3 linked regions of the Mytilus edulis genome follow. Each later gene encodes a partner of the first gene's protein in a complex. Links are inferred from orthologs where the notes say so. Each region holds a gene or a part of one and is shown in the gene's direction. Other genes may lie near its edges.

What was found.
Region 2: syntaxin-18-like (region 1) and BET1-like protein share a complex: the UniProt entries of both Homo sapiens proteins name them as parts of the SNARE complex. The link is inferred for Mytilus edulis from reciprocal best matches to the Homo sapiens genes STX18 and BET1L.
Region 3: syntaxin-18-like (region 1) and vesicle transport protein SEC20-like share a complex: the UniProt entries of both Homo sapiens proteins name them as parts of the SNARE complex. The link is inferred for Mytilus edulis from reciprocal best matches to the Homo sapiens genes STX18 and BNIP1.

Annotation. Positions count from the first base shown.
Region 1 is NC_092347.1:80,145,381-80,153,111, reverse strand, and holds the start of syntaxin-18-like, read left to right. Parts: upstream 1-4,299; 5' UTR 4,300-4,583; coding exon 4,584-4,733; intron 4,734-5,888; coding exon 5,889-5,956; intron 5,957-7,731. Other genes in the region: TM2 domain-containing protein 2-like, read right to left, coding at 4,037-4,173. UniProt on the Homo sapiens protein: Syntaxin that may be involved in targeting and fusion of Golgi-derived retrograde transport vesicles with the ER.
Region 2 is NC_092350.1:69,796,530-69,804,982, forward strand, and holds the start of BET1-like protein, read left to right. Parts: upstream 1-5,055; 5' UTR 5,056-5,102; coding exon 5,103-5,130; intron 5,131-7,128; coding exon 7,129-7,214; intron 7,215-7,757; coding exon 7,758-7,814; intron 7,815-8,453. Other genes in the region: dual specificity protein phosphatase 3-like, read left to right, coding at 193-404, 1,061-1,263. UniProt on the Homo sapiens protein: Vesicle SNARE required for targeting and fusion of retrograde transport vesicles with the Golgi complex. Required for the integrity of the Golgi complex.
Region 3 is NC_092347.1:13,289,097-13,296,854, forward strand, and holds the start of vesicle transport protein SEC20-like, read left to right. Parts: upstream 1-4,360; 5' UTR 4,361-4,442; coding exon 4,443-4,523; intron 4,524-7,758. Other genes in the region: ectonucleoside triphosphate diphosphohydrolase 7-like, read right to left, coding at 3,907-3,914. UniProt on the Homo sapiens protein: As part of a SNARE complex may be involved in endoplasmic reticulum membranes fusion and be required for the maintenance of endoplasmic reticulum organization. Also plays a role in apoptosis.

The DNA of each region.
Region 1 (7,731 bases):
AGTATATATAACATGTATAATAATGCAAAGCAATCACAAACAATAATCAAGAACATGCAAGGAAATCATTGATTGATTGCCTTTATTGTACACTTGTTGGCTTTCAATCCTGGTGGAAGTTCATGCTATTCATTAAAAATATCCATATATAAATATAGTTGAGTTTCTGAAAGACATTATCAAATGTCTTTTGTCTGAATGATGTCCACACTAATGAAAAGTAACCTTCAAGACATTAAAGCTACTGAGCACACTTGGCCTTACATTGACAGAACTGGCAGATTTGATACTTTAGTCCCAATGTTAACCAGCGCATACCCTTTTAAAGCACAGAGAAGAAAAAACATTGAGCAAAACACACGGTTGAGAAAACCTGCACATTGAGATAATTTTTTCCAACAGGCCTTAAGATTGAGGATTGACCTCCCAAGTATGTTGTACGTCAACCACAATACACATGTTGGACCAATCATTTGGATCATATTTCAGGAAAAGAATATCTCAAAATCTCTAGGGATAATATACACCTTATATATGCATGTTATGGCTATTACTGGCTGACCTGAGGATCGGTGCCACTTGAACTATAGACGTCATACATGTACAACAATCACTTTTCAATTGTGGTGTAACGGTAGTCACTTTGTTTTCTTGTTTATTCTATTTATTTGGGGAAATTGGTTAATATTAGTATTACTTATAGTTCCGTAACTCTTTCTCCCGAGACTGGCAATGTAATTATTCTTGTCAGGACTTCCTGCTTCTTGCACGTGCCTGACATTGGGCCCTGCCGGGCTTGTTGTCCCTAGGAACTATAAGTATGAAGTCACTCACCAGGTTTGTGGCAGTCTACACTTAGGATTTGAAATGAGCAGAAGCTCATACTGTTTTGGCTTTCAAATATGGAACTTTAAACATGTTAACATGGTTAAAAGGACAAGTAGACTAGCCACAACCGTATATTTTAGTATTTCTTGTATGTAACTTATAATTCAATCATATGTATGTCTTTAAATAAACATCTTGTTTATGTTAACATGTTTTACATACTTTGTCCAATATCCCAGCAGAACTTGGGTAGACAACAGGAAGACAGCGAAGCCTTCTTCTTCTTCTTCTTCTTCCATATACAGTTCATACCACCATCTGGTGTATTATCGAACTGATGCGTGGTGCAGACAAACCAATATTTACAGTGCAGTTAAAAAATAGTATGTACAGTTAAAAAATTCGCACAGTCCTTAATACATCTTGGTCTTCTGCAACTCACACTTGAATGTGTCAATTGAGTTGCAGGCTACAGTAGTTGGTGGTAGACTGTTCCATAATCTGATGGCGTCTGGGAAGAACGAGTACTGGTAAAGCTGCGTTCTTGCGAATGGAACAAGGAATCGTTGGTTGTGTCCTCTTAATGTTGCTGCTGTTGGGATTAAGCAGGATGTTGGTATTGCAACCAAGTGGTTAACTATGCGGTACATCATTATAACTTTATTCGTTGCTCTACGCTCTTGTAGGGTTGGCCATTGCAGCTGGTGTAATAGGTTTGTTACACTAGTGGTTCGGTGGTAGTCACCAGTAACAAATCTTGCTGCCCTACGTTGTACCATTTCCAGGTTGTGGATGTTGTTTGCTGTGTGTGGATCCCAAATGATGCTTGCATACTCCATCTGTGGTCTCACAAGGGTCTTGTAGCAGAGTTCCTTGGTCTTTCGTGGGCATTGTGATATATTTCTCTGTAGAAAAGCCCTGGTGTTGTTGGCTTTTCTTACTACTTGGTCTATGTGAGTAGTCCAGTTTAGTTTGTGGTGGATGTTGGCCCCCAGATATTTTGCACATTCTACTTCCTCTAAGACGTGACCATGGATGATATATGGCTGTCTGATTGGTTTCCTCTTGTTGGTAATCAGGGGCTAAAAAATTTTGTTACAGCTAGCTAGCCCAGGACTTATTGGCAGCAGGATTTTACTAGCCCTGTTGGAAGAACTGCTAGTCCATAAAAACTGACCTGCTAGCCCTAGTATGCCTTAAAAATTAAGAGTTTGCTGCACAATACAAAGTAGGTGCCCTTTGTTTTGAAGGAGACATTATACACTGTATTTAATATTTTTTGTTGATCTGTTATTATTCTTTTGGTGCTTAACCTAACTAAGTTGTTCCCACATTCAAAGCAGACTTTTTATTGGCTAGCTTGGGGCAACTAACGGCAATATTCACAGAGCATTGTCTGTTTTTTTCATCAGCAACAGCCAAGGTAATCATTGTGTCCCAGTTCTGCCAACTTTTCGGGAAGTGAATGCGTTTTTTGTTGGCCAAATTGTTAAGATCAAAGAGAAAAAACAACAGATCAAAGGAAAATGCCGCCAAATAAGCATGAACATGTGTGAGTCTCGCGCTAAAGACTTGACAGCCCTGCTGTCCTGGACGCTATTATTGTTTTTCCGCGGTTTAGCATTTTGGGGGGGATGAATTTTCAGCCTCGTTACTCCATTCATCTACCGTTTTTCGTTTAGAAACTGACAAAGTTCCTAGGGTTCCCGTACTAATATATTAAGAAATATTTTGTTGCATAGTTTCGTGCTCAAGAGCTGTGCAACAAGACATGTCAATACCAATCAATACATCATACCCTCAAATAACGTTAATCGAAAATCTCGGCACGATAAGCAATGTACAATACCTCAATCAATGGTATGAGAAATCGATATTTAAAGTACGAGAATCAACACATGATACCAGGCCACCCAGACATGCCAGAGTTATTTGTTCTATGTTTAAAATATGTACAACAGGACCTGTACAAACCAGTTCAAATTCTTGGATCCCGGATGACTTAATTGAATCGAAATGGCTAACATAGAATAGTGATGAAGGGATTTTTCACTTTCTATTTTGGAAACGTCAAGAATTTTTTGTTACTAGTCCGTCGGGCATATCGGATTACACATTTTAATTGCCCGAGGCGTAAATGATCTAGTCCCGGGCGTCGGGCTAGTGGATTTTTTAACCCCTGGTAATGTGAATGACTTGGCACTTTTTGGGATGAAATTCCATGAGCCAATCATTCTCCCATTCTTGTAGGGTTTCCAGATCTTGTTGAAGTAGTTCTGCATCTTTGGTGTTTTTTATTTCCCTGTACAAAAAAAAGCCAGTGGAAACTCCACCCCCGTTTCAGTGGCGTCAGATAATTTGTATTATGACGTCGAAATTTTACGGGAACCTGTGTGATTTCCAGTAATAGTAGTAGCAATAAGGTATATTTAATTAAGGGATGTATGTATGTTCCGTATCTCCCTCCTTTAGTAGGAGCACCACCATGGGTTATGGTGTAAAAAGGAAGACATTTAACACACTGTATCGATACAGATTTAATGTGAGCATTTGCCTATCCAGTTTCCCAGCCTGGCCGTGACGGGTCTTACTACCAGAAAGTTAACCTTCCCCAAAACAATAAGTACAATGTAATAAAGCATACGAACACACCCACTCACCTGACTCACTCATCCTCAAAAATATAAAAAATGCATATTATAAAAAAACATTATATACAAAATAAAGGATAAGGTCACCCCGGATGCCGCACAAATGCCTAGACAACGAACGGGAAACCGGAGAGGACATACTTGGAATCCAAACCGATACCGCTAAATGCCCAGCTGTATTCCTGGTAGAGGAAAGCCGAAAATCCTATGATAAAGGATCTCGGAAAGAAACTACCGATCCATTAGGGGAACAGCTAAAACCCTCAGACATCAAATAGATTGGTCTGATAGTTTCCCACATGGAAACTACTAATGGATCCCATCTGACTACATGTCTCAAACAAACCTGAAAATATCTGCAGAAATCTTTCTCAACAAAAAAAATATAATCCAAATCATAAAATATACGATGTAAGGATAATAATATTTATCCATGAAATCAATTTGACAAAACAATTTCAATGATGTTGAAGGATTGTCTCTGCAAAAATTTTCACGTCCGCTCTCATCGGCATGCTCGACAGGATGTTCCGATTATTAATTTTAAAACCACTTACAAATTTGTACAAAAAACAAGTGGTGCATGAGGGACGTAAAGCTCGTCACATTTGTCTTCATAACATTCTTCTATGTCAATACTTGAAACAGCACAGAGTAAAACTATAAAATGAAGGCAAATGTCCGTCTTAATCATTTTGGTTGCTAAACTTCTACATTTTCATTTTTTGTTTTTCTTCATTATTATTTCAAAGTCATTTATGTTCTTTTTAATCAAATAAAAATCGGTACTTATTTCAAACGCAAAATCGACATAGATGCACAAAATCTGAAGACCAAAATGTTGCTATAAGTTGCCAACATATTTTTATTTTATTTTCAATCATTGTAATAAGTATCTTGCATAAATAAGATAGTTAATGATATATTTTTTGCTGTAAGTGGCCACACAATTCACGTCATACTACCCAGTAATAATCAAGTAAAAATAAAAATAAGTTCGTCGTTGTTGACATATGAATCTGTGAACCGAAAAGTGCCAAGTTGGAAGCATATATATATGTAACCTGTCACACATATTGTTTACCTTTTTCTCATTTCAACACAATGTCAGATGTTACTAATTTATTTAAAGCGACAGTCAAAACTATAAAAAGTAGAAATAAGATTTCAAAGGAAAATGGAAAGAAAGAATTTACTAATATTTTCCCTGCCACAAAACAGAGGAGTGATTTTGAAAACACAGCAAAAGGATTGGTAAGTATAAGGGGTTTCACTTCTTATTGGTGACAAGAAGGCTAATTAAGTGTAGAAATGACAAAACAGATTTAATGTAAAACAAATAAAATTTTAATTATTTCAAATAAATAAATATAAACAGACAGTGCATTATAATTACAGCTCTCCAACATCTTCAATAGGCGCTCTATCTCTCGTCAAGTTAAAGCGAGAATTGGTAACTTTGTCGTAACCATACAGATATCACTGCAAGATGTTTAAAAAGACAATATACTGCTGATTTTTTAACGTTATTTATAAAAGCTTGTTCTGTTAAGGTTCATTGATCATTAAACAAATGGACAAATTTGACTGTTTTTTCACATCAAAAACTACTCTGTGTACAGACTTACCTGTGCTGTTTGGAAAGTTTTAAGGCCTAGCATCCACATGTATATAAAAGTTAAATGCATTTAGTGTTTAACCCTTTCCTCCATAATAACGCCTTTTGACGCCACCCCCTTTACTCCATAATCTTTTAATGACGCCTGTGTAGTACCTCAGTTGAAACGCTATGTCTCCAAAATGTCTGCATCAGACTTCAAAAAAATTTATCCAATATGAAAAGGAGATTCATGAGAATATCTGACTTGAATTTCATTGATCACTGAAATATTAGTTTTCACAATGCATTAACACTTTAAACCTGATGATTTTTTTTACTGAAAAAAGTCCTATGCGAAATCAAGTATTTAAAAAAAAATATCCATGGAGTAAAGGGTTAAGAGAGATAAAATCTTTCTTGGTTTTTGATGGGCATTTTTTTTCCTTTCTGTGAAAAAATTAAATTTTTCAATATCTTGATTTTTTATGTCAATTTTCACTGAACTAGTACACCAGTTGAGAACCACCTCTGGTTGCAGAATTTTCTTGTTGCGTTGAAGACCCATTGGTGGCTTGTCTGCTCTTTGGTCAAGTTGTTGTCTCTTTGACATATTCCTCATCATGCCCATTTCCATTCTCAATTTTATTTTGACTCTTATTGTTTAAAAAAAAGCAAATCTTTATCAATTTGTACTTTTAACATTTTAATGGTATTTCAAGATTGTGTAAAATAATTCTGATATTACCTGAAATGTTTTGATTTATAACCCACATTGAACAGTTATTTTATAGTTTCAATATTCTTCTTAGGTATCAACCATTACACAGTTGAAAGATTTTCTACTAAAGCACAGAAAGGATTATGTAAATGCAGGCAGGTAATTAGATATGACAAAATTATTTACCGCTACACATATACATTTGTAGAATTATGGAGATGTGGTCGAATTGCCAATGAGACGACTTTGCACCAAAGGTAAAAAAAAATGGATGTGAGCAATTATAGGCAACCATACTTATTTTAACAATGATGTCAAAAGGGATTGAAAAGTTTGCCAAGAGTGATCTATGAATTATCTTAAAAACATAGGCACACATACATAGAGATACACCATGTACACATACAATAGTTAAAATAAACAGAATACAATAATTTTTAGAATTAAGTAACACCAGTCTAAATTTGAACATAAATCTTTCCCATGGCTTTGAGAAATCATTGCACATTTGTTCCAGTAAACAATTTGTCTTAACTGGACCAGACTCTTTTTTTTTATAAGTCTTTTACACACATGAATCAAAACTACGGTAAACATTGGAAATTGTGTTGTTGTATGAACATTTCTTCAAATGAAATAGACAAAATGCCGACTGACCAATTACAATGTATATATATTTGAATTAATTAATGTGGATGATCATTAATGACCCATTCGATAAACAGATCTGTAACAACAGATTATGACACCTGTTGTAACTGTTGATTAACATGGGGTTGTAAACAAAGTCATAAACTTGTCGCCAGGTAAAATTTTGTAGAATTTTTTTTTTTTTTTTTTTTAACTTTTACCAATTAAAATGAAGATCAATATTGTCAAAAGAAATGAAAATTTTCACATGTTTTAAATGTTGGGGCCAGAAATATCGCCAGCAGCTGTTTTTGTCGCCCGATGAAATAAAACATCACAAATTGCGACATTGACGACGCACAGCGCAGTCCCTGCATGATTAGGTCAAAACTTAAATTTTACTTGCTATTTGGTTCAGTAATGCATATCTCTTTACTGGATCAGACTCATTTTTACTAAACTCTGCAATCTTGGGAATGACTGCTGTGTGTTAGTTAGATTGTGGTTCATATTCATATCACATTTACATGTTATGATCTTGAATGTAATCAACAGATTACTAACAGAACATTAAACATCAGTCAATTCAAAAATAAGCATCTTGCTATATTTAAACATTAAATACAGTTTGACATTCATAATCTCAATGTTGAGCAGACTGATAAAATATTTTGAGATAACCGTGAAAACATAATGTAAATCTGGCAAGTGTGTAAGACATTTTCCTTGAAATAACAGAAAGGAGTATGTTCAGTAAGACCCCTTTTTGGCCCCAAAATATAGCAGTTTTAGAAAATTGTGAAAATGTAATCCATAAGCTTTATTTTGGAAAGTAAAATGATTCTGCTACATAAATATGAGCTGTTTTTGACAATACAATGCACAAATATTGCGTACTGGTATCATAAAGTCATGCTAAATTACTGGAATCTTCCAAATTTTAGAATTTTGGTTAATTTTTAGACGGTTTCCGTCTAAAATGAAAGTGGCCGCATTCGTGTTCATTCATAATATTGAAATGTAAGTTGTATTTGATGATAATACAAATCATATATAAAGGTTGAGGATGAACACGGATGCAGCCACTTTCATTTTTGACAAAAAACATCTGAAAAGTGACGTTTTTTTTGGCATATTTGATAGATTTTTCATATATATAAGCTTGAATCAGAGCGTTTTTAATGATTAAATCAGTTAAAATCTTTCACACAAACTAATTGAATCAATTGAAATAGACACTTACCTGTTTAAAAAGTGTCCAAAAGCTTTCGTTAGTTGAACCTGAAATTTAAGTCAAAATCGGC
Region 2 (8,453 bases), on another chromosome or scaffold:
TTTAACATTGAGCGGTTGGCTACCCTCATATTCCTCGCCAAGGTTCGGGCGTACACGTAAAAATGACCCAGCTACGCCACTGTTTTTCGGTGGATACCAAACAGGGGATGTTTATAATCAAGTAAACAGAACAGCCAAAACAAAATACAATTTATCTCACAATGTTTTATAACTCCATATTCCTTTTTTCAGGGTTATTGCACGGGATGCGACAAAACTAAAGGAACTTGGGATAAATCTAGTTATAAATCTATCTCCAAATGAAGTGAAAACGAACCCATTAATTTATGAACCTTATGACATAAAATACTGTCCACTAAGTTCGGATGATAACGTATACACATGCTTATTGAATATTGTTGAAGATGGTGCGGACCTGATAGAGGACACAATAAAAGATGGAGGTAAGCTAATCTACTCAGACTTTTTTCCTACTGTGTCGTACACTATTCAGGTACTCTATCAAGTGAGAGCTATAAATGAAAGTAAAAACCAAGCTAAAAATAGATGCAATTTACTTATCATTCAGGGTATAACGGTATCTGTTTCTCTATATATACACGAGCAAAATTATCGACAGCTAGTTAATTGTTTTCTTTATTATTTTAAATAAAATCTAAAAATTAGCATTGGCTGTTCCAGCCCCCCTTTTTTGTGGGGAACATTTGTTGATTATATAGGTGACCACAGAAGCATGTCTGTAGGGGGCTCCTATTATGGCAGTCAGTGCCTCCTTTTCTATTTCAAATTTGTGATCATTCATTTTGAGTTACATATAAATGAAAAGTCTGGAAAACCAAATTCAGCAAGTTTGCAAAAGTTGTGAACAAAATTAGTACGATGTTATAATCATATTTACCTGTGGAAGATAAAAGCGGGTGTTAGAAATGGAAAACAAAGGTTTCGTCATCAAAAAATTCTTCCTGGACCCCATTGCCCCCTGATATCAAATAGCGACCCTTTATATTTTATAACTAAACAAACTTACACTTTATACGATATTTTTTGTTTCATATACTGTATCTAAGGGGAAAAATACAATACCATTTTATTATTGCAGGTAAAGTCTTGGTTCACTGTTCAGGCGGAGTCCGAAAATCGCCCGCAATGGCAATTGCCTATCTCATGCTAAAGGAACAGTTGCCTATCTGGAATGCCGTAAAGTGTATCAGAAGATGTCGTAAAGTGTGTCCTAGCAACGGTCTCATTATGCAATTGTGTATTCTGAATAAAGAAATATTTGACAAAGTTACGCACAAATAGATAACATATACAATGTATATTGGAAGAAAACATACAAAACATATGGCTGCATTTACATTTTACTTTAGTGCGCATGCAGGCATGCAGTATGGTAAAAAGAACAGTTCAATACATTGCCATTGCATACCTAAACGTTTGGAGTTCTTGTTCAAACAAGTCGTTTGGGCAGGTACATATAATATACATGTATGTATTACATGTCTCTAGTTTGAGAATGTAGAACATAAGATTTTATTCTTATGTATGAATTAGTTGTGCTACTATTTGTATAAGCTACCTCAATTTTATGTGACACTATTTTAATTGGAGTTTGACCAAAACATACTTGTTGCTTTAAGTATGTAAATAAATAAAAATATGACTCAAACGCATGTGTTTCATAGTATAATAAGCCATATATATATATATATATATATATATATATATATACTTAAGAATTATGGTCGATGGTCTTATTATTGATTTATTAGATGTCTATAGGTACAGGAGCAGCTTTTGTAAAATTACTACCAACGAACATGTATACAATCATTTGTGTATCAAATGTATGTTTTATAAACAATTGTTAAAGAAATTCATTCCATATTTCCTGAGTGTAATATATGATAGACAATTTTAGTTGATTGATTGGTTGGTTGGTTTGTTGGTTATAAAATGTTTGCAATGTATCAAGTGACAAGTTCTTTATATCGAGTGGTTGGAACCGCTGTATTGGTCGATTTGTTGTTACGTTTAATGGTTGATGGATTGAATTTATAAATATTGACTGTTTTCTAGGTTAAAAATACGCATATTTTATATTGTCTATTTATTGATTAATGATTTATGTACGTGACGTCCAGTGAAAAATAGTTGACGATTTTTTTTTTACTCGGAGAAATAGGCAAGGTGTTTTCCTCATGAATAAGAGAAATAGGACGGCGACAACTTCCTCGATTCAATGAATAGGCGAAAATCTAAAATTCAATGCTATTTTCAGATTCACACCAACACGTAAATAACAAATACGAAAGTTCTGATACGGGTTCGATATAAATTGCAATTAAAAACATACACTACAAATAAATTGTAAAGTCTGATGAGTTTAGAAAAGGGAATACAATGTATAAAACAAGATTCAATGATATTTCATGACGAGTGTTAAGCCTAGCATGTCCAAATGCAATTTATGATATTCAAACTAAATTTGGTGTTTGCGCATGGCCTGGGAGAGATAGATTTTCTCTATTATTTGTAGTTGCCATTTTATGGACTTTCATAAAACATTTTGACCTTTTTAGCATTGTTTATAGCCTGGTTGAACGGAATATTAGCGTAATACAGTTAAAGCATAATTTTATTTATCTATCATAACATAATAGTAAAGATTACAGGCAAAAAACGGAAAAAAAATTATATAAAAACAAACCGTCATTCAAGGACATAATTCCTATCAGGAGTTGATTAAGATTTCGACTAAGTGATAACCAAAAGTTCCAAGTGGTGAAGTTATAAAGTCATGCCCACGAAAAAATAACAGACACCATCACGAGTTGGATGACCAATATGGCATATCAGTTTCACAGACCGACAACGAATATGTTCCGATCATCGTAAACACAACCCCGGTCTCATTTTCCATCAATGTAAATACCCAATTAGACTTATCATGCGTAGATATTGAACTTAGAGCAACATGACTGGAACTACATGTAGAGAAAGATCAGTTTATTCTTCCGGAGAACCTGCGATCACCCCGGTTTTAGTGGGTGTTAGTGGTGCTCATTCTTTAGATTCATCGATTCTGCGTTTTGTGTGCTGCTGTAATGAGACTGATGTGGTGTGATTGCCAATGAGACAACTATCATAAAAAGTTTAAATAAAGTAAAATGAGCAACTATGTGCAAATGTACGGGCTTCATCAATGAGAAAAACCCTTACCTTAATGTATTGCTATAAAGATCCCGACAGAAAATAAAATTAATTTGGAACAATTCAATTTAGAAATCTTAGTTTATTTTCGACTTGATATCGATCACTACTCTTCTTTTTTTTAGCCTTGCTGAACAGATGATTAGCTCAAAACAGTGAAAGCATAATTTTCTTTATCCATCATATCATAATACAATTATTAAGATAACGTACAAGCCATCATATTACAATTATTAAAATATCAGACAAAAAAAATGAGAAAATTTTTGAAAAAAAACGTAATTCAAGACTCAATTCGACAATGTGTTAACCAATAGTTCCAAATGGTGAAGTTAAAGTCATGCCTACAAAAAAATTACGAAGATCATAATGAGTTGGATGACCGTTATGGAGTATCTGTTTCACAGATGACGAACACCATGAACACTGAATATGCAAAACACAGAACAGCGCTAAGATAACTCGAAAGGCAGGATTTAAACGTGCATGCTTCGATGGTCTTAGCCAGAGTGTAATTATGTCTCCATTCATTGAAAAATCGCAGATCTCAGAAAGAAAAAAATCCGAACAGATCTTAGAATCATATTCAAAACAGTGTGGCTGTGGACATTGATTGACGACCTAAATTATCCCATTGACTAGGACAGATTAGGTGAACGTTTGTCTGTAACGACCACTGCTCACTACTTGCTTATTATAGAATTTAAACTGTGGGATCACCAAAGGTTCTTAAAGTTTTTAATATTAAAATAATTCGAAAAATTAACCAGAAATAACCTTTATGTTTTGATTTATATTATTGATATAAATCAAAACATCGTGTTATTCCTGATTAGCTTTTCGAATTACTTTATTCAGGCATTGAGAACCTTTGGTGACCCCACAGTTTAAGTGTCTTTAACAAGTACACAGTGAGCAGTGGTCGTTACAGACAAACGTTCACATAATCTGTCCCAGTCAATGGGATAATTTAGGTCGTCAATCAATAGTCACAGCCACACTGTTTTGAATATGATTCTATTTAAATTATTGATATCAGAGGTATCTTTTTTTGAGATACCAGATCAATCGCCAACCATTCTAACATTTGCAAAGAAAGAAAAATGGATATGAAAATTTCACAAGATAATGAATGTAAGCATTGTCATTCAGATAAATCGCCAATAAAATTGTGTTCAGTACAAAACATTATGGACCCTTAACTTAAATATTCCAATTTATTATTCTATTTTAGATCAAAACTACCGTAAACTGTATGTAAGGACATAGTTAATTATATTGGCTTCATTAGCTGGTAAAGTTAAGATAACGCCTTAATTCCTCCTGAGAATCTGAGACTGTTTTAACACAGTAGTCTCAGCTTCCTCATATTATAAATAAAACTTTTAAGGACCCGTCAGCTGAGTGTCCGATTGAGGGCTCTTTTTCTTGTTATTTAAGGAGATTATGTTTCATATTTCTTTTTGATTATAAATCTAATGAAAAAGATCTTAAATAAACGAAAAGTGCAAAACTCGTCAGCAATTAAGTACCCTCTTGGTAAATAGTCAGTTTACTGAGTAAAACTTTATACCGTGAATGCCAATCGGTTATATGACAGTCTTCACTATACCTACACAATAATTTATATTTTATTTGCGATCTTGTTTTTATAGGGGGAAATGTGGTCCATCTTTAGAATAAAGGTGTATAAAACATGTAAAAGGCATATAAAAACACACTGTAATATTTGGTGTCTAATCAATGTTATTCTTTTCCGGAAATTTTTCAACCTTTTATCCGAGAACGGATAAAGTATTAAAAATGAAAAAGTTATGTCATTGAAACGTTTTATTAATCGCAATCTATCACTCTTTGTTTAGAATAATTTTTGACATTGTACAAATGTTTTGCTGGAGATTTTGACACATCAACACTCCGAAAAAAAAATGACAGATAACAGGAACAACCGGAATGGTAATAGTTATCTGCGTCTCTGTCTGTATCTGTATGGTTACGTCGTAGCTACCAATTCTGGCTTTAATACAACGGGGTGAAGGCGCCGTCGATTTACTGACGTCTCGTGAGAGCAGCTTTAAAGCTCTCAACGCTCGTTTCGCGCACAATAGTGTACCCATAGTTATCTGCGTCATTTTTTTTATTTCGTTTCTTCAATCAAAACATTGTGACTTGGATTGAGAGTTGTCTTATTGTCATTCATACCACATCTTCCTATATCATGTACATGTATGCTGAGACTACTATAGCATTTGTATCACACAGTGTTATAGTAGTCTCAGATGTATGTATCCAGATCATGTTTGCATGAAAGTGTTAAAGCCTGATATGTCATAATTGTCTATAACCCTTACTCTAAGAGGGCGGTTAAGAGTTATTTCGTACAACGTTTTCCGCCTTTTTATTTGTGTTTTGATGTTTTATTTCCCGTTTACTCATGTTTGGTTTCGTGTGCGTGCTAATGTTCCCCCAATACACCATATCACTATTCCTGGCTGGCCCTTAGAATCTGTACTACTTAAACTATTGACGTCACACAACAATCACTTTTCCATTGTGGAGTCGGATATTTTGTATTATGGCGTCAAAATTTTACAGGAACCTGTGTGATGACATGTAATGGCGGACAAAACAAATACATGTAACTACATGTATAAGATCTATAAGGTGTATTCATATCATACTATTATGACCATTACATTTGGGACCCATTGAAGAAAAATATAATTACAGAATAACTAATCGAAGAATTCAAGTGGAGAAAAATATTCAACAGGTGACTGAACAACTGTAATTCACAAATGAGTGTAGCGCATGAGTTAATTATCAATGTTGTTCCGTCAAGAGTTGAATATTTTTCCGATATTTGAATTCTTTTATTAGTTAAATAGATACACATGTAACTCTATAGCATGTACCAGGTCATTACAGATAATACCTTTCTGAATTTACAAAAAATGATCATGTACTCATCAAAGTGAGAGGGTTAGCGCTATAAAACCAGGTTTAATCCACCATTTTCTACATTTTCTACATTTAAAAATGCCTGTACCAAGTCAGAAATATGACAGTTCTTGTACATTCGGTTTTGATGCGTTTTGTCATTTGATTTTGCAATGTGATTATCATGATTATGGACTTTTCAAATTGATTTTCCTCTATAGCTAAGTTTTGTATTTTTGTGATTTTACTTTTTGCATATGGTTTCTTCATTCAGATGATTCTAAAATTTGTACAAGCTTTTAGAAATGTATATACTTGCACTATGTATAAAATGATGTACATGTATGTTTATTATGGTTTTATTTCTAAATTTTTAATTTCTCTTTGATAACTAGATTTAAGGAAATTTTGATATCTTTCTTAAATCATGTAAATAGTATTATTAATATAGCTTAACAAATGCTTGGAAAGTAAATTTAATATGTATTTCAGGCAATCAATTTTTATAAATTTCCTTTGTATTTTACTACAGTTACTCATATAAAATGGTAGTATACAAAAAAATGAGTTAACTCTCCTAATAAATATATAAGTCTAGACATTGCTAGAGTGCCTGCCAAGAAATAAATATATTTCAAAAAGTATTTCTACATGTACAAATGTAGGTATACCCTTGATTAATAATGGGGTAGAATGGAATACATACATTCATGTAGATTTAGAAACCATTTTAACTAGGCCATAAAAAAGAATAGGTGTGTTTGCCCTAACCCTACCTACATGTACCCAGAAAATAGCTGCCTTCTCATAATCTTTTATTGTCCTGATGTGAAAATATTTTTTCATTCTGATAGCCATGAAGAATTATAAACATCTGATAAATTCTCTTTTCCAAAAAAAAAAGAAAATGCCTACCTACATGTTTGGGTAGGGTTTGGGCAAACCAAAATAATTGTGGCCCTAGGCAATGACATGTAATTTTTTTTAAATTGACCATATACTTTTACATTTCAGGATTGTCTAGATCAGAAGAAATGCTTGATTCTGAAAACCAAAGACGAGTTGATGGATTATCAGACAAAGTATCAAGACTGAAATCAGTATGTGCTAACCTGACTTAATACAGAATACTGTAAATTCAGAAATTATTGCAATGTTTTCATTATTGCGAAAAATTGGACAGTGTTATACATGTACATGTTATAATTGCAATAATTCAAACTTCAAATTCAAATTTCTGAATTTACTGTAACTTGTGCAAGGTGCATGAATCTAATATCTGTTCTAAAATATCATATTTTTGTCATTGTTGAAGATAGCTTTACAATTGAAGTTTAACCTTCCTCACTCCAAATAATTGTAGTTGAATCAACTAAATTCAATTCTTTATAAAATGTAATATTTAATTTCGCTTCCCACTGATAAATTTAAGCAATTTGTACCCATCAGTGCATACAAGCACTTAATTATTGAATGAAACTGATAATATATATAGCAAGCAAGTAAAGCAAAACTGGAAGATTATATGCATAACATGATAAAAAAATATGTTTTTCAAACAGAGGAGTTGTAGGCCCTCTAATCTGTTACTGATTCAATTTTTATATACCGGTAGTTCTCTTTCATAATTTTACTATTTTCAGCTTGCGTTTGATATAGAAACAGAATCAAAAGACTCTAACAGATACTTGGATGACATGGTAGGTTCTAAATCTTCTGGGGCGGATCCAGCCATTTTAAAAAAATGCTACAACTGCTGGAACCCCAAATCTGGATCTCCAACTAATCTTCTTGTTTTCTCACAATTTTTATCATGTTGATTAAAAACGTCATTTTGTCTTTTGCTGTTAAAATAAAAATAAGAAGATGGGATATGATTGCCAATGAGACAACTCTCCTACAGAGACAAAATGACATGGAAGTGTACGGCCTTCAACAATGAGCAAAACCCACAATACCACATAGCAAGCAATAGACTGGCATTGTTTTCTCTAGTAGAAAGATGATAAATTTCCATAATCTAAAACCATGTTGTTATATCTTTTATTTTCTTACTAGTATTTTGTTTTAGAATTTTTCATCATTGAACCACTACTAGCATATTGGTATGCAGTTATATTAGCCTTGCTCATTTCCTAACAGATTATTTAGCCCTGCACCTTCAGTCATGATTTATTGACTTTAGATGTCTTGCATAGACTACATGTTAAAAGTATTGCAGCCATTTTGATATCAACAATTGCATTTTACTACATATATGTATCAAAATTACATTTTAAAAGGCAAGACATATATCTGTGTCAACAATTTATTGCATAAATATTTGTTGCATATTTTAT
Region 3 (7,758 bases), about 67 Mb from region 1:
ATATACCTGGAAGTGTTTTTTGTATTTCGAGATGACAACATTTGAAGAAACTTAATAAACTTTAAAAACTCAGTGAAACAAAAAATTAATGATACATCTAATATCATATAATTATATAAATTTCCATTGAAAAGGTTTTTGATTTACCTGTGTAGAAGAAAATCAATAACATCAAACCTTTTTTCTACATGTTACTTATAAGGAACATGAAATTCTAGTTTGTAAACATGTAAACATTACATTTTTTGTATATTAACTGCTGGCACTCATTGTAGTTTATTGTGTTAACATTGCAAAACATCATGTCTTTGTTATGCTTCTTTTATTTGGATGATGTTAGTTTATAAACCAATTAAGAATTGAACTAAGTGTTGAGTGCAGAAAAAGTTGAAATTAACGTACATGTACATGTATGCAAGCCATAAAAGTGGAAGTGAAAAGTATAAAAGTATTTAAATGTGTCTGATGTTGTGAAAAAGTGTTCATTCAATCAGACATAGTTTTATAATAAAATACTTTTAAATTATGTCCTGTAAAGGTTTATTTTCAATAAGAGGACATCACAGTCTGCACCAAAAACTTTTTCAACTACTAGTCTGAAGATCAATATTCTGACATTTTTCATATTAGTTCAAACAAAGTTTTGCAAAAACTTACTAGTCCGAATGAAATTTTAATAGTTTGGGGCATCGAACTAGAGGCTAACAGTGCAGACTGCATCATCTTATGGTGTTTTATATACATGTATCTCAACTAGTTCAATTCACTTGTGTATATGTAACTGTGTATATGATTACAGTTGTATAACGAAAGAAATCTCTGTATTACTTGAAAATTATTACACCAGGATTTTTCGATATCACAAACTAGTCAAAATATTTAATAGATTTTACCATCAATACAACATTGTACAAGGATATCATTCCTAAACATAAATAAACATGCAGACATCTCATACATTCAGGTATTTCACATCCAATCTTTTAAGGTTATATTCTTTATAAAGCACAAAAATGTCTGCATTCACCTCAAAGGCTAGCCAAACCTTTAAACAGACTTATTCAGAACATGCAGGAGGGATATTGTTATGATACTGTTTTCAGGTCATTAATGATGGCATATATTGGTATTAATTTTGATTGACTCGTAAGGTCTTTGCATTGGAAATATGGAGGAACAGGAGAGATTGTACTTGATTTTCATATAAAGAAGACTTATTTGATAATCTTTCAATCAGTTTAATTGTGGTCTGGAGCAGGCATGAAAGTAACTGCTAGTAGTCCTTTGATAAGAGGACAGCATCTAATGGTCCTTTGATAATTTATGTATCATTGTCATTTTGCTGTGTTTCTTTTGTTACCTTTTCTGACATTGGCTCAGACTTCTTTTAAACTGACTTTTACTATGCATAATCATGATAATGTTGTGCGATTCTTTATTCTACATTTGCTAGAGGTATAGCAGAGGGTTGAGATCTCACAAAACATGTTTAACCCCACTGCATTTTTGCGCCTGGCTAAAGTCATGGACATGAGTCTCTGGCCTTTGTTATTCTTGTATACATGTATGTTTTTTTCAAATTTTAGTTCATTTATATGTTTTGAAGTTTAGTATGACATCCATTTTCACTAAACTAGTACACATCTTTCTTAAGAGGCCAGCTGATGCCCACTCAGGATGCAGGATTTTCACACTGTGCTGAAGACCCATAGTTAGACTTTGGCTGTTATCTGCTCTTTGGTAGGGTTGTTGTCTCTTTGACATATTCCCCATTTCAATTCTCAATTTTACAACATGTACATGTAGTTATGAACTAACTAGGAATGTAGCACTTGGATTCTAAGAAATATGGTTTAATACCAGGCCTGGATTTGGACAAGGGCAAACTCTAGTCTAAGTGGTACAAACTAATCTGCATAGATCTACATTGTTCATGTACATGCTCAGGGGCCGGTATCATAAATGTGTTTGGGCAGAAATATGTGCCAGTCCACTGGTATGCGTTATACATTGTGTTAATAGCACTATTAACACAATGTATTATGCATACCAATTGACTGGTATACATGTATTATTTGGCTTTTAATGTCGATCCAGCCCTTTGTCTATCTGTCACAAGTTTTAGCAATCATAATCTTGATTGAATTGATTGATTATACAACTGGTGTTACTATAGTTCACGATTAAAACAAACCAGTTATAAATAGAATAATGATTTTATTTAAACAAGTCATTATAATCATTACATTGAATTCAATTGAAAAACAGTACCAATTACACTTAACTGGTTTCAACTTAATATACATCATGTACATGTAATCCATCTGAATATTACTCCAAGGATTAGGCATACTAACTTCACTTGTCATCAAGCATTGATACTTTTTACATAAATCCATATGGGGTCTCACTAATTAGCGACAAGAAGTGTCAAGAAGCGATAAGAAGCGACAAGAAGCTATTTAGCGACAAGAAAACATTTTTTTTTATTAAATATAAAAAAATATTCATTTAGTCATTTTTAATATATACGGGCAGAAATAAATTGATAATTTTTTGTTATTATATTGATAGATGAAGAAATGAACATTTGTGAGGAAGGGATTGTGTAGTTTTTAATTATATGGGGACGAAGTACCCTACATGTATTACAGTAGAAAATTCAATAAAAAAAAAATTTCATTGTACTAATGAACTCAAAATCGTTCAATTTTTTTTGTCGCGTTTTTTAATTTCCAGATCTGCGCAGAAAGCATAACTCTACTTCCTTCTTCTGGTCTTGTTGTCGTGAGACTTTGATTAGTCTAGTAAAATATAGGAACTCAATACCAATATTTCATTTTTAATCATTCTTTGTCTTTGGTATGCATAAACGTTACCTGATGCATTGTGTTTCCCATGTTTACATTGAACATGACGTCATACATGTAACTTAAATAATGTCACAAGTAAAATCCTTAACAACAGAACCAAAATCGGAAACGTTACCATGCTGAATGCCTATATGACAAAATGAGAGAAAATCTAAGGAAATTCAGCTACATGTAATTACAATATGATAATTTAGTTACTTTTGCTTAAGTCATTATATGAAAAGTCCATTCAGGGTTATGGTTACGGTATTTCCCTTTCTTTTTTTTAACAAATATTAAGTTACAAACAAATTAATTTAAACAAACTTCGTCCCCATCAACAGGTAATGCCTGCCTCATATTATTGATAGATGAAGAAATTAAACATTTATAAGAGCAAAGGAAATGCACACGCTATAAAATGAAAATAAAAACAAAGATTTTTCACCTTTCCTTTGAAGGATTTATTGAAACAATTACATGGAATATTATTTCCTTTCTAACTGTACAATTCATTGTCCTGATAGGACCAACGTTAGCTGTGGCTTCACCGAAGGTAATACACGATGTAGAACTTCAAATGAGATTAACGAGGCGCGTGTCCTTTGTTTTATTGCTACAATAACATCCAATTAACACAATATCATGTAAATAAATGTAGCAACTGAATTAAAAATGTAGATCTATGTCTATTTTTTATTTCTACCAATATTAACTTTCTTGTCCTTAAAATTGTTTTCATTTAAATATTCTTTTAATATTTATTTGGAATAAGTAATTTTAATAAAAAAAAATGTTTTCTTGTCGCTAATATTATTCTTCTTGTCACTAATTAGTACATATGTAACTAAATCCTCTGAAGTTAATATGGATTATTAATATTTTTATTATGGGTCCGTATCGACTTGGGGCCTGATCAACCCTTCACCTATATTCCAGACCCAAAATATCTGTTACACAACCTTTCTTCAGACAATGTTGAAAATTGAATGTAAGTCAAGTGTTGTGATTGCCAAGTTAGTGATATTGTTGCAGATAATGAAAAAATACTCACCTTCCCATATAAACTACAGCTCCTTTACAGGATATATAGAAAACAACTGTCAGTGTCAAAAGTGGTAGAAGGTGGTCTGGTGGATTCGGTCTGGTTAAATGTTACGCACGATCTGTTATGCTTCCTCTGTTATTGTCTTTATCCAAAAATCAGAAAGTAAAATATAATGCTTATTCTAAAAATTTGCATTTCTGGTTTTAGATGTTGCATTAAAACATAGTTTTAAATATAGTTTGACATGTCAACGTGGTTACTCTTCCAAGCCGGAAGTAAACATTAACGTAAGTGTCTTTTGCTTTATTTTTATTTATTTTTAAAAAAAATTTAGAAAAACAATTTTATTATTATTTGTTCTGACCAATTTGTGTTAAATTACTCTTAATACATATATCAATAGTTTGTTTCATATGATTAAGTTTTGTTCTTCGGGTTTCCCATTTGCGACAACTAACAATCGTCATTTCTAATGTTTACTTCCGGACACATGTCAAAGTTATTTTCGTTTTGATCACAGCTGGATTTTGTTGTTTTGCTTCATGGCTGCTGAAGACATCCAAGTTAGAATTTGTCTCCAAGAAATAGTAAAGTTAGATTTAGAGATCAAAGCTTGTATTCAGGTAAAGGTTTATTCTGGTCACATCTTACCTTACCAGGAAATCTTTCTCCGTCCACTTCGGGACAACCTCATTTGAGTAGTCAATATTCCACCACCACATCTATGTACACTATTTTACACACATTATCGGTAATTATATAATACACTTGAGTACGGAGATATCAATGTTTCATATTATCCTCCATGCATCACTGAATTAGCAATGTTTAAAATAATTTCCACATTATACGAGTATATACAGTTCACTATTTGACAGGTATGCTCTCGGCACAACAACAGTATAAATACGGGAGTACCGATGTTCGGAACATGTTATAAGTTCATAACAATGAAATATCCTCATTTCCTTTTAATATCTAAAGATCGGTATCTTGCTATATGTAACGCATACACATTTGCCTGCATATTGCATCTAATTTAACAATATTTTCACTATTTCCTTTAAGTCCAGTATAGTACAACGTACAGTCCAGAATTATTTGGATTTTATCATGACTGGAAAGTGTTCTAAGGTTGTCTTTCGATATTAAATGTAATATTTCATCGATCTGGTGAAAATATTTTTGTCGGATAGGTTCTAGAATTTGACAGTCCAACAGGAAGTGACAGAGAGTTTCATCGCCTTGATCACATAATTTACAGATCGGAGTTTCGTTTTCTGTATATCTAAATCTTTTATTCTGTAATATATAAGTGCCAGTTACTAATTTTAATTTAATTGCCAGTCTTGTTGTTTCTCTGGTCGGATCGTTAGTTGTATTTATGTCCAAAAGATGGTGAAATTCCCCAGGATTGTATGCGTCTATATTAAGATGTCGAAGAGACATATAGCTTTTTCCGGATGAAATTATTGCTTCTTTCCAGTATTTATAAACGGCAATTTGGACAGTTCTCTTCCATTGAAACTTTTTTGGCGCACAGTTTAGAAGTTGTAACGGAGATGGTAGTCCATATTTAAATATCATTTTCTTAATTGAAATAAACCAGCTGTTGCTCGATTGATCTTTGACGGTTAATTGTCTAATAGCCAATTTCTTTTCTAAATTTGAGTTGTCTTGCCTACATATGTTATTAAATAATATTAGCGCTTTTTGGTCGATTTGTGCTTCTATAGGTAAGAATCCGGATAGGATGTAAATACTCGGATCTGGTGTACATATCGGTAAAGACATAATTCTCTTAAGCAACTGTTTTTGGAACTTTTCTAATTTTAGTAGATTTGATGAAGTAGGTAATATAACTTCTAAGCCGTATGTAAGAATAGGTTGTATAAAGGTTTTGATTAGATGTAGTGAGGTAATCGGATCAAGTCCATTCTCACCATGCAGTCCTGCTGACATGAGACTGTAGGCGGCTCTCCTAGATTTAGTAATGTTCTGGTCAGTGGTTTCATTTTGAGAGTTTTTTGAAGATGTTGATCTAAGAATTCCTAGATGAGGTGATTTGTCAACGATTGGCATAGGATTTTCGTTCAAAGTTAAATTGACTGATTTAGACTGTTTCTTGCGGTTAGATGGTTCTATTTGTAAGACAACACTTTTTTGAGGCTGTAGTAGATAGTGATGGTTTTGACTATATTCAGCAGCTATATTTATGAGAAGTTGTAGTTCTGCTGGATTTTCGCTCATCAAGGCAACATCGTCCGCACAGGCTATTGCATTAACAGAGGTTTCTCCAATTGTGCATCCCTGTGCAACATTTTCAAAATTATGAAGTAAATCTTCAATATATATTTTATACAGATCTGCACTGAGAAGACCTCCCTGTTTAACTCCCTGTTGGACTGGAAACTTTTCTGAATAATCATTTGCCCATTTGACGCATGCTTCTGTGTTTTTATGTATTTCATCAATTAATATCCAAGTAGCTGGATTGACATCGGTGAAGTGTACTTTCCGTAGTAGAATTTTTAAGACCACAACATCTAAGGCAGATTTCGCATCCAGTAAAGCTATAAGAAATGGTGATTTCTTGTCCATATTTTTCTCTATATACTTCTTCTACTATAATTGCTGCATACAGTGGTGAAGCATTTGCAGTGAAGCCTCTCTGTAGTACTGACTGTAGATTGAGAGAATGTTTTCTTAGATCATCACGTAGTATGTACTCAATTATTTTTAATAGTATTGGTAAAACAACTATACCACGGTAGTTCTTGGAGTAAGATTTGTCTCCTTTGTTTTTGTAAACTGGTGATAATAGACCAATCTTTATAAAATAAGGAATCAGCCTTTTTTGAAACATAGTATTTAATAAGTCAAATATTGTTAAGCAACAAATAATTGACCAGAATAAAAAAGTCGCAAATATTGACTCCTATAAGTCGATAAGTGATCAAAATTGGTTAACTTCAAGACCCACGCATATTTATAAGGAGGTCATGCATCTAAATCAAATAATGACAACAGTGAAAGACAATGCTTTGTCTTCTAAAGAAAAATATGAATGAGAGTCTAAAAAATCGGAGATAATGTTAATTAACCTTACAATGCAACCACCTGGAACTACACTTAATGAGGAAAAACATCTGTGTTTAGTAAGGATGTTCAATTAGACAATTACATATAGATAGCTCAAGTCCTTGTGAACTCTCAGACAGGTTTTTGCTGTCATATGTTGTGTAGTTTGGCCACCAAGTGAAATTAAGTTTTTTCATCAACATAAATAGACCTAAACAAGTCTGTCATTTTATGACTTACATGTAGATAAGTCTAAAATTGAAAACACATTTTTATGATAAATACATGTTTTGACTTCTTTATTGTCAAAAACAAAAATCGACTTGTTTATGTCTGAGCTCTGACTGACTAGAAGAAAAATAGCTCTTTCATAAAGCCATCTTTGAAAGAGTTGCTATACCTATTCCAATGCACATTATAAAACCAAGAAGAACTTCGAGACTCCATCAACCGAACACTAAAAGATATGTACAAATCAGGCCAAACAAAGATATCTACAAATACAGCTTTTTCCCTAGGACCATCAGAAACTGGAATAAACTACCAGATGAACTATCAGAAATTGAGAGCAGTGAGGAATTCAAGACCAAACTCACCAAGCTCCTCTGTAGTGGCTAAGCAACACAAACAATAGATACTAGTAGAAAATGTTTTTAACCTGCACCTGTATATAAATTTTTAGCACAAATTTGGAACTATTGGTTGTAAATGTAGAAAGTTTATTGTCATGTTGGAAGACTTCAAAAGTTAAACTATACTAGAGTGATGGGTCGTAGT